Linked DNA regions of Mus musculus: regions 1 and 2 are each reported to be linked to region 3. The links are microRNA targets in miRTarBase. Many come from high-throughput screens and were not tested one by one. Region 3 holds a microRNA gene; each other region holds the end of a gene's coding sequence.
What was found. Region 3 holds the annotated microRNA mmu-miR-496a-3p (UGAGUAUUACAUGGCCAAUCUC, at 2,147-2,168, shown strand). A microRNA usually pairs through its seed, bases 2 to 8, with sites in the 3' UTR of a target mRNA and lowers its output. Matches are read on the target gene's strand: a 7mer-m8 pairs with bases 2 to 8, a 7mer-A1 pairs with bases 2 to 7 and ends in A, and an 8mer does both.

Region 1: the mRNA of Pkia is a reported target of mmu-miR-496a-3p. Seed matches in the 3' UTR shown: 8mer at 210-217.
Region 2: miRTarBase lists Tbc1d8b as a target of mmu-miR-496a-3p. Seed matches in the 3' UTR shown: 7mer-A1 at 540-546.

What each region holds. Positions count from the first base shown.
Region 1 is chr3:7,441,937-7,444,936 of GRCm38, reverse strand. It overlaps Pkia (protein kinase inhibitor, alpha), which reads right to left. Exons shown (of 3, transcript NM_008862.3): 3 at 1-2,926. The coding sequence ends at 2,847. Among named protein-coding and RNA genes, the nearest start is that of Zc2hc1a, 60 kb to the left of the region's middle.
Region 2 is chrX:139,751,414-139,754,413 of GRCm38, forward strand. It overlaps Tbc1d8b (TBC1 domain family, member 8B), which reads left to right. Exons shown (of 21, transcript NM_001081499.2): 21 at 48-2,805. The coding sequence ends at 428. Among named protein-coding and RNA genes, the nearest start is that of Ripply1, 29 kb to the right of the region's middle.
Region 3 is chr12:109,737,019-109,741,449 of GRCm38, forward strand. It overlaps Mir496a (microRNA 496a), which reads left to right and starts at 2,101; the gene lies at 2,101-2,179. Mirg (miRNA containing gene) reads left to right here. Exons shown (of 8, transcript NR_028265.1): 2 at 663-789. Mir154 (microRNA 154) reads left to right here and starts at 1,415; the gene lies at 1,415-1,480. It overlaps Mir377 (microRNA 377), which reads left to right and starts at 3,492; the gene lies at 3,492-3,559.

The sequences.
Region 1 (3,000 bases), not on the chromosome of region 3:
TGTACTAACATAAAATGTTCTTAGTTTAAAAAAGTTAAGCTCAACAAATTCTACAGCTTCTCATTCATTGTTAATGTGTTAAAATGGAAAATTTTGTGTTTCTAGGTTATTAAATAAAAAGCAAGAATATTTGTTCACATACATAGCATGAACATAGCATGTAAATTTACAGTTTACATGTCTTAAATAAATTCAAAATAAGCTATAATTGAGTATTAAAACAACAACAACAACAAAAAAAGGTAGGCTCAACCACATGTGTCTTTGTCCCAAAGACATGTGTACAAACCCAAGAAAGGCTAGTCTATTTAGTAACTTAAATTCTTTCTCTGTAAAATGCAAGCTGACTGAGTGTATTATCTATAGTTTTCCATACAGAGAAACACACTGTGTAATTAGCTTAAATTTTATGAAATGTGGATTCAAAATTCTGTTGATAAACATGGGCTCAAATTAGCTTTTTAGTTTTGCAAAAATTAGTCCTTATTCATGTTCACATTGTAATTTGTGAAAGGGGCATAAGATGAAACTGAATGGTACATTTGGTTCTGAAGTGACTTAGCTGGGGTAGTTAACTAACACCCCTTTCCTTGGGCTGCCCACACTTCCATCTGCATTTACAGATTCATTCCCTATGTAGTATTATTTACTTGCAAATGATAAGTATTAAATGAAAACCAGGAGATTCTATGCACTTTTGCCAATTAAAATTTATGTGATGTGACAAATTCAGAATGTTTATCTCTTTTCCCTTACCAGCCACAGAATCCCTCTAGGATTGAATACAGGACACCAAGTAGCAGTAAGAAATCAAATGAAATCAGAACCTCCCTATGACTTCTGCATTTAGCACTACTTATATATTTAAAGACAAGCATGGCACCGCATGCATTAGTAATAGTATATGACACAGGGGTATAACCCTTCCACACAGTCTTAGCACTGGTTCAACACTTTACAAAATGCATGTGAAACCAGTGTGGAATTACACAACTTTAAGAATGATCTTCCTATTCACAAGAAAGCTATCAGCATAGTTAAACAAGGACATTGAAACTGTTGGATGTTGTAAATAGATTATCGGAGATTGTCTCAAATAGGCCATAGGTTCACAACTTTGAGTCTATCAATAGGTAGATTTGTTTCAATTTTAGCTAGCCTCCAATGACTTAGATCAAAGCAAGGCCTCTCATATTGAATGTATTTACTGTTCTATATCCAGAAAGGCATACTTAACAGTGCTTGTTTTTCTGGAAAACATCCAGTTGGGGACTAAATGAGATTCATATATTCCCAGTCAGTAATGAAAGCACTCTATGGGAAGATATAGGCAGACTTCCTTGTCTACCTTGTCTGTAACTACAGACTCAGGTCGAGTTCCTACCGTACCCAGGTCTGCCTGTTGAAACACCTCTACCTACTTAACCTGGAACTGTAGCTATGCTAGTGCTCCAGGACACTTAGAGGCTCTTCTGTTGAGAAAGTCTTCTTTCATCTGTTATTTGCCTCCTATGATGCACCAGGTGAACCTTGGGCATCTAACTGGATCCTCATTTATTACCAAAGATAGTTGGTTTCATAATACTGACCAGAGAGGGTTATACAGGCCACAGAAACTCCCCATACAAGAATTGTGATGTCAAAACACAGCGTAGACCATCAACAGCATCAGTAAAAGTGTAGTTGGGTGATAATTTTTATATCTGAATGCAATTCACACAAATTATTAGTAAAATTTTACAAACATTAAAAAGTGCATAACAACATTTGGGTATGAAAGGGCTGAGAGGGGCCACAGCACAAGGGCTTTACTTTTGAGATGGGTGCCCACAGGCTTTGAGGAAAACACTTCCTTCACAAGTTGTCCTCCTGCGTTAAACAGTGGCACCCAGCAGTGTGAGAAAAGTGATCCTCACAGCACAACATTTCTAGCTCTTTGCATTATCTGGCATTCTTTGTTTATTTTGTTGATTCTTAAAAAAATTCTTATAATGAAAAATTAAAGTATCAGTTGAAAGTACTTATTTGGAAATAAAATCAATATTGAAAGACAGAACGCTGGTCTGTGTAGATACTAAGACTGAACTCAGGCAATATTCACATTCATGGATATTTCCACATGCCTGTATAATAAAGCAAAGTGGGCTCAGTGAGTCTAGTGGATGTAACCCTCGGCAGTTATCAAGAGGAAAGTTGTGTTTTACAAAAGAAGGTTCTGCCCTGTTCACGCCACAACACTATGGGAAATTAAAAAGGCAGCCCTTTAAAAAATGAGCGGTATAAAAATTCACAGTCATGTACATCATTTTGTTTTATGTAAGCAATCAAAGGGCAGTGCAGAGCAGGTGTACTGTACGATACAAAACGGCGTAAGTAACAGCACTCACACACAGGGACATAATGCTAACTGTGCTCTCTGGATGGTTCTTTTTGTGAGTCAATACTCCAGCCAGAGATACTGAAACTCTGGGGTTCAACCAACTCTTTTCAATTAGACACAATTAAATCCTCTGACATCATGAGGGGCCAGATGCCACAGGAATCATCAGCTAGGCAGTGCTACTCTCTACAAGCATTTCATTATACGGTCAAGTGGAAGGACCCATACACGAAGGAGATCCAAGCACAGCCCAGGTGATTTCAACCATTGCTAATGACAGAGGTGGGGAAAAGGCTGTGTGCAGACACAGGCTCCATCCCCACTTGTGACATGGCAACCAACAGTGTCTTGCTGTGCAGCGCAGCCATTTTCTTCCCCTCCGTTTCACCCGTGGCTGCGAATACATCCGAGCATCGCCAGGATATTTGCCACATTGTCAGATGTTGATGACCGTCAGAATGGAGTGTTAGCTTTCAGACTTGGCTGCTTCTCCCTGGGCTTCTCCACTTTGTTCGGTGGAGCTTCTCTGTCCATCATCTTCACCTTCTATAAGAGACAATGAGAAGTGAGAGCAAAGAAAAGCTCATGGTTCCTGTCTCTCAGAATGCTGGAGACTTCAA
Region 2 (3,000 bases), not on the chromosome of region 3:
GCTAAGTTTAATGTTAAAATATTCTATTTCCAACTTGTGTCTTCTAGTCACAATTTATTCAATTTTCAAAGACCCTGTATAATTTATTTCATGAGGACCCTGAAGAAGAGTCGCTATATCAAGCCATTGCTATTGTAACCAACCTTCTGCTCAGGATGGAAGAAGTTGGAAGGAAACTCCATAGCCCGGCATCATCAGCCAGTACAGCTCGTGATTCTGGACCCAGTGAAGGGAATGCAGAGAGCAGTGTGAAGAAAGATCTTCCCTCTCCCAGGGAAGAACATCAGTGGTCGTTTGCATTTGAGCAGATTCTTGCTTCCCTGTTAAATGAACCAGCCTTGGTGAGGTTTTTTGAGAGACCCTTAGATTTAAAAGCCAAGCTAGAAAATGCGAAAAGCTCCCAGCTAAGGTCTAGAACCAAGATGTAAATCTCTGCCATCATCAGCTTTGCCAAGATTCCTGCACTATCAGCCTGATTCCTGGGAATACTTCTCAGGGATATGTTGCATTACTGATGTGCTCCAAGGCAGAAGAAAAAGATACTCAGAAGCACAATGGTTCATTCCTTTGTATTAAATGCACTTTTAAAAAATTCTCCCCCTGTCACAAGATAAGCAGCATCAGGGTCACATGCTCAGTGGGACCACCAGAGGGCGCCACCATATCACTTTAGTGAGTCAGTCACAAGTTTGTCCTGCTGTTTCCATGAGATTGCTGGTCTTTTGAAAGGTGGTAGGATATTTATTATAATGCTGTTATGGCAAATTGGTAAGCCTTGTTTTTCAAATGACCCCAGTCTTATAAAAACTTTACAAAACTGGGCTTTAGAACTGTAGCCTTAATTATCTAGGAAGTTGCCTTTTAGGGCCCTGATTTCCAAGTTATATAACTAAAAGATTTACTTCTAAAACGTAATTTTATTCAGTACAGTAATACATGGTTTTACAGTAATACATGCAACTTCTGCATTCTCTGCTCTCGAGGGATTGAGCACTCGGTGTTTAACGCTACTAACTCTGTTGCTGATAAACACAAATCAAGAAGTCTAAATTCTGGGCTGATATAAAGAAAAACAACACCAGATTTAGACTTAAATCAAATAAAGCCAGCATTTTGAAAAGAAAGGTTAGAAGACAGTTTAGTTAACTATATAGCTCTTTCAGTTAGACTGAGACACAAATAAAAATTCTCTAGAGTGGCATTGTTTATTGCTTTGGTTTCAGAATAGCTTCTGATTGCTTGTGTCCCAGCTTTGTAGTTTGAATTTTTACCCATTGTATTTTAATTTATAGTAGGTAGTGTGGAAGAGTTTCACTAAGACTGAATTGCTGTATTAGTCTGGCAAGCATGTAAAGTATACTTCATGTAATACTTACTAGGGTACTATATAGAATTGCCAGCATCTACCTAAAAAGGTTAGACTTAGATGTGCAATTTTTACATACTTTATGCTTTTTCTATGGCAGTCCATTTAAATATATATGGACGCTGATAGCACTTTCAAAAGAACAAAACAACAAACAAACAAAAACAAGCAATCCATGCAGACCTGACCTGTCTTCTGCCGCTTTTGAAGAGGGACTTATTTAGCAGTTGACTTGGGAAATGGGGCAGGAACCAGTGTGTGGAGCTTCTGTCTTCACACTAGACTTGGATTTCGAGCCTCTGACTTGGCTAGAAGGGAAACAATGAAAGGATAGACTTCCTTCATGGTGACCAAACAAGTCTCCCTTTCTGGGAAAGAATTGGCATGGTCAGTCTTTGACAAGAACGTACTGTGACTAAAACCTAACTGTGTTACCATACCACATACTATTTTCAGTGAAGCTAAGCACTTCTCAAATTGTGTCTTTGAAAATTCCTATGTATCAGGAGATGGCCTAATCGGCCATCAGTAGAAAGAGAGGCCCATTGGTCGTGCAAACTTTATATGCCCCAGTACAGGGGAACACCAGGGCCAAAAAGTGGGAGTGGCGGGGGGAGGGTATGGGGGACTTTTGGGATAGCATTGTAAATGTAAATGAAGAAAATACCTAATTAAAATTAAAAAAAAATAAATTTAAAAAATCCCTTAATGTAATCCACTATATAAACAAACTCAAAGGAAAAAAAAAAAGAAAGAAAATTCCTAAGTTGAATTTGGTCAAATGCTGGTAGCATCTTTAAGATTTGATTATGCTGTCTTTTCAAGGACATGACTACTTAAAAGAGATAGTTGAAAACTAAGCCTTTCTGCCTCAACTCAGAGATGATTAGCTAAAATATGTCCCAATTTTCAATCCTAGTTGATAGTTTATGTGAGAACCATCACACATCTACCATTATGCAATGATTGTTAAATTATACGATGATAGCTCTAGAAAAACATATGGTCCGCGCTTGTATACAAAGATACTGTTATACACACTTTGTTGAATATTTTGTCAGTTGTATTTACAACAGATACTTTCTTAAGAGAATATGTTGTTAGTTTTTGATATTATTTTAAAGTCAAAATGGTAAAGATTACTGAATATTGTATTTTAGTCTTGATCAATAAAAAATAAATAAAGAGATTTTTTGAATTTCAAGAAGATTATAAATGAAAGCAAGACAACAATGTATTTTCCGAGTCTGCAGGAGAAGGAAGCAAAACATGTTCTAGTTTTATAGCTGCTGCTTTGTTAAGCAAATGAGTTGTTCACAATATTCAAAATATTTTGTTGTGTCAAACTGGACCAGTGCATTATGCCTTTTACCTTAAATGTTATAACATGACTTTGTCTTTATAAAACTAAGTATTAAAAATCTATTATATTAAATATGAAAGGTTTACTAAAAGGCCAAATGTTTTATTATGCACTTTACTGACACATAACTGAAATATCACTTGAGCCTATGCATCCTTGCTACATCAGTTTCGACTCTAGCTGCAAGAAAACCAGAATTCATTCTCAATTGGTTTAGGCAGGAAACTGTTTATCCCTGGATAGTAAGTGGCTTGTATCATTATTAGAAGGA
Region 3 (4,431 bases):
CACCCATAGGTCCCTAGGGCAGGGAGAGAGCGTGTTTTGAGTTAAGTTCTCTCTTCCTTAACACAAGGGTCTTCCTTTCTTTCAGATGTAGCTGTGCATTATACACCGACTAGCTTGAGCTGTGGGTGACTGTCTCCCCAGAGTTTTTACACATGTGTGGCGCTTTCCTTATGCAGTCTTGTTACTGGGTTGAGCCTTTAGCTGAACAGTGGGTTAACCTGGGTAGCATTCCTGTGTTCCTTCTCCTTTGCTGTCTGCTGGTCATAGCCTTAGTGTAGCCTGCTTGATACCTGATGTCTGAACTACAGTCCTTCCTCGTTTGTTTGGTTTTTTTTTTTTTTTTTTTTTGGGTTCTAAGACTTTCCTATTGGGCACTGGTGACTTTGCCAGATGATAACCCAGCCAGTGTTTTCCCATCATTTTTTTTTCTCGATTGTAATTTTCATTTCTTCTTTATTAGAGTTAGTTGTAGCCTTTAAAAGACGTTCTCTGCGGTTCTTTTCTTGACTTAAAAGATCCAAATTGTCTGTGTAGTTCTTTAGTCAGTCTCCGCCCCCTACTGCCACCTTCCCTGCATCCCTCTCTGGCATCCTTTGCATCATGAATTTATTTGATTAAAGGTATCAGTTCCCCTTTCCCACTGTTATTTTCCCCCTTGGCAGGATGCCTAATTGCAATGCCAGCTTCTGGGGTGAACATGGACCCACTGTCATCGGGCAAGGTCTAGGATGGACATGGAGACCCACCATCTGGGAGATTCCAGAGTGGACGTGAACCCACCATCATCAGGCAGGTTTTGGGATGGACATGGGCCCACTGTCGTCAGGTAGCTATGTGAACTTACTGTCAACCAAGCAAGTTTTAGTGTTCGTTTCTTTGTTGTCTCATTTTCAGTGGATCATAAGCTAAAAAGTACAACCTATTATTAGGAAAACACCCTGAAAGTTTGCTCACCCCAAGGGACGAGGCCATGACTTGAGTGTCAGTGCCATTTAGTGCTGACCTTACCTTTATAATGAGTATTGCCAAGTCAGCCTCTCTGTGAACTTTTCAGGAAATCCCTAGAAACAAAGCCTATGTAAGGCGAGGGTCATTGGTGTTTGCCTCAATCTCAGTATGAAGCTAGGAACTTTCCACTCCTATGATGAACACAGGATGAAATCTGTGCATCTAGGACCTCCATCACCAGACCCTTGTAAGGACCCTTAGACACTGTATCCTTGGCAGTGGTGCCAAGACTAGATAACCATGGGTGTCAGGGGTTGGGGAGGAATGGGTTGGACCTGGGGTGCGTGATGCCTTCTCAAGCCCTCTCACAGTCAATGCAGTAACCTGCTGTGTTCACTGTGCTTGGGGGACTTCCTGGAGGAAGCCAGCTTCAGAGAAGAGATGCTGGTACCCACGTGCGGTGCTTGAAGATAGGTTATCCGTGTTGCCTTCGCTTTATTCGTGACGAATCATACACGGTTGACCTATTTTTCAGTACCAAATCCCGCCTTGGAGGAATTTCTGGGGTGGGACTGTGGTGTTAGCGTCTTTCCAGGGTAAGTGAAGGGATGGTTCACCATGGTTGGATCTAGTAAGAGGTATGCTGTCCATGCCCAGTGTATCCCTGGTTCTCTGGTGGACTCAGGGAGGGACATACTTTGGAATGATCTGGAGTATTCTGTAGTCATCCACTTTATTACTTTGACAAATCACATAAAGTCCACCTTCTAAGGTGTAAAATGTGTCCCTCAAACATATTAGGGAAAGGTCAAGGTCAGAACTAGGAATTGCATTCACAGCATCTACCATGATGACTACATCAGCCCCTCTGGCCATGTAGTCTGAGCTCCCTAGAAGAGGCAGTTGAGTTCCCTGGTGGTGTTCCGATAAGAAGCCTTCCCAACTGCTCACAACTGACACATCCATGTGGGCGTGGCAAGCTCCTGTGGCTTCTTCTGGTCAGTGATACTAACCACCACATGCAGGAGACAAGAAGTGACCCCTAGGCCACATGGCATATGTCATATAGCTAGAATATGTAGCCATCTGCCCAACTCTCAGGGACTCCATCCTCAGATGCCTGAGATGTATCAACACAAGCTCTCGAAATCAAGTGTTCGAATGGAGGTTGCCCATGGTGTGTTCATTTTATTTATGATGAGTATTACATGGCCAATCTCCTTTCGGCACTAAAATCTTCCTGGGAGAGCTTCTTCGACTGTGCGGGTTAAGGAAATAAATTGTTCCCTGTACTAAGTGCTGTCTGGGACTTATGTCACCTGGTTGTCAAAGTAAGATTTCCCAGAAATGACACCAACTATTTCGGTGACTCTATCGTTGTTTGGCCATGGCTATCAAGAGCATAGTGCATTGTGTCAAGCACTGTATTCAGATGAGAAAACATCACAGTGTTAGGCATGCTGTAGGGAAGAGCAAATGTCAGTCACCAGTGGGGTGGGGCTAGCTACAAGCCACTCAGTTACTCATTCCTTACCAGTTTCACCAGTCCAGGGAAGATCTCTAAGAAGTAGAACCAGATGTCAGGCTGGTGAATGGGGAGAGGTGGCTCACAGTGACATTTAGTGACATGAGAATGCTGATGTCCTTTCCCTGCTCCAGTGTCCCTTGGGAAGGAGAGAACCCAGCAGCATTCATTACCACCCGATGCTTGCTAATGGTGTGACCTTGAATGAGTCAGCCTGTCACCTGTCTGTGCCTCCGTTTGTCTGTCTGAGAGTGTTAATGGCTGCTTATAAGGTATGTATTCACGCTGAATGTGTGTTCAGTATTTTGAGAGTGCCTGGTTTCCCCCAGAAAGTTGGAAAACCATTGGCTTTTATAATGATAGTTGTTGCATGAATGTCCTTACTCTGTGGATCTCTTCCCACCCTCTAGAACACAGGTTCCTTGAGCTCAGAAACCCCATCTAATGCTCGTAGGTGCACACAGGACGAATGATGCTGAGTGAATGGCAGTTGGACATGTTTTCTTTGTTGAACCCTCTTTGAGGCCTCTCAGAAGCCAGAGAGAATAGAGGACGGTGCAGACACCTTGTACCCTGATGCTGCTGGTTTGTCTGTGCGGTCTCTCAGGATACTGCCTTGGAAAGGGAGTTATCCTCTTTTAGGTCAGCCTTCATTGGTGGGCAGGATGGACCCTACTACACAGAGAGTCATGGTTTCTTCTATGTCAAACCTACCTCAGGACTTCTCTAGGAGAAACACTTTGGGATTCAGACTTGGTGTCCGTGTGCTTCTGGGTGAGTGACCAGTTTCTGGCCAAAGCCTGGATGTCTGTACAAGTCTCTGGCCACCTGTAGGCAGGAGAGAACTCTGCAAGTCAGTCCATTGCTAGTCTGCTTTGCAGTTGGACCTGGGGGCTCATCGGAGGTAATGCCAGCCTCCCTAGAGGGTGGGAGTCAGGGAGCCAGAGCCGAGGGAGGCAGGGCTGCCTGGGGAAGAGGCGCCCTGCTCAACTCTCGGCCTGTGCTGACGTTTGATTCTTGAGCAGAGGTTGCCCTTGGTGAATTCGCTTTATTGATGTTGAATCACACAAAGGCAACTTTTGTTTGAGTATCAAAGCCTGCTTGGGGTGGCATTGGGGACACGTTACAAAGTTCTGGGGTCTCTGCAAATGTCATGTGCTAGAATGGAAGGTGTGGATATGGGGATGGTCAGGAAGGGGTGTGGCTCAGAACGCCACGTGACCAGACATGTAGTCCCAGGAACCAATGGAGAGATGCCAATATCTACTCCCTGACTCTTCTCAGCCTGAATCCTCTTTGTCACACCAGCACCTAGCCCCCCTAGTTGCAGACACACTCGCTGTTCTATCTCTACTCTGAAGATACCTTGACAAAATGAACTCTGTCCTTTGACAGTGTCAAGGACAATGGCAGCCTTCCCTCCCCACCCCCTTCCTCTCCTCAACTCACTGGGTCAGGAGTGCTCACATACCATCTGTTTTTCCCCCCTCCCACCCCACCCCCTCAACACACCTCTGTCTGTTTCTCTTTCGTCCTCATCGCTCACCAAACCTTGTTCTCCATTTTTGGATGGGTTAGGAAATGAATAGAGGCGACCAGCATTTCATCCCGTTTACATTAAATAATAGTGATAAAATAATCACAAAATAACACCACAAACTACCAGAATAGCTTGGAGGAAAATGTGTTCAATTGACTACAAATTGGCAGAAGAATCCAATTTTCTTGACAACATTTGAGCTGCGACATTTGACCTGGGGAAACAGTACTCTGTAGACATGGCAGCCGCAAGGGGCAGCTTCAGTAGTGGCGGATGCTATGAGCAGTAATATTTGTGGTAGATGAACGCACATTGAGGAATCAAATCTTCGTTCAGATTTTTAAATGGGAAAGAATTGATCCTAATGAAAATGATTTGAGGAAATAACAAGGGAAATAAAAGAAATGAAAATGGCCCA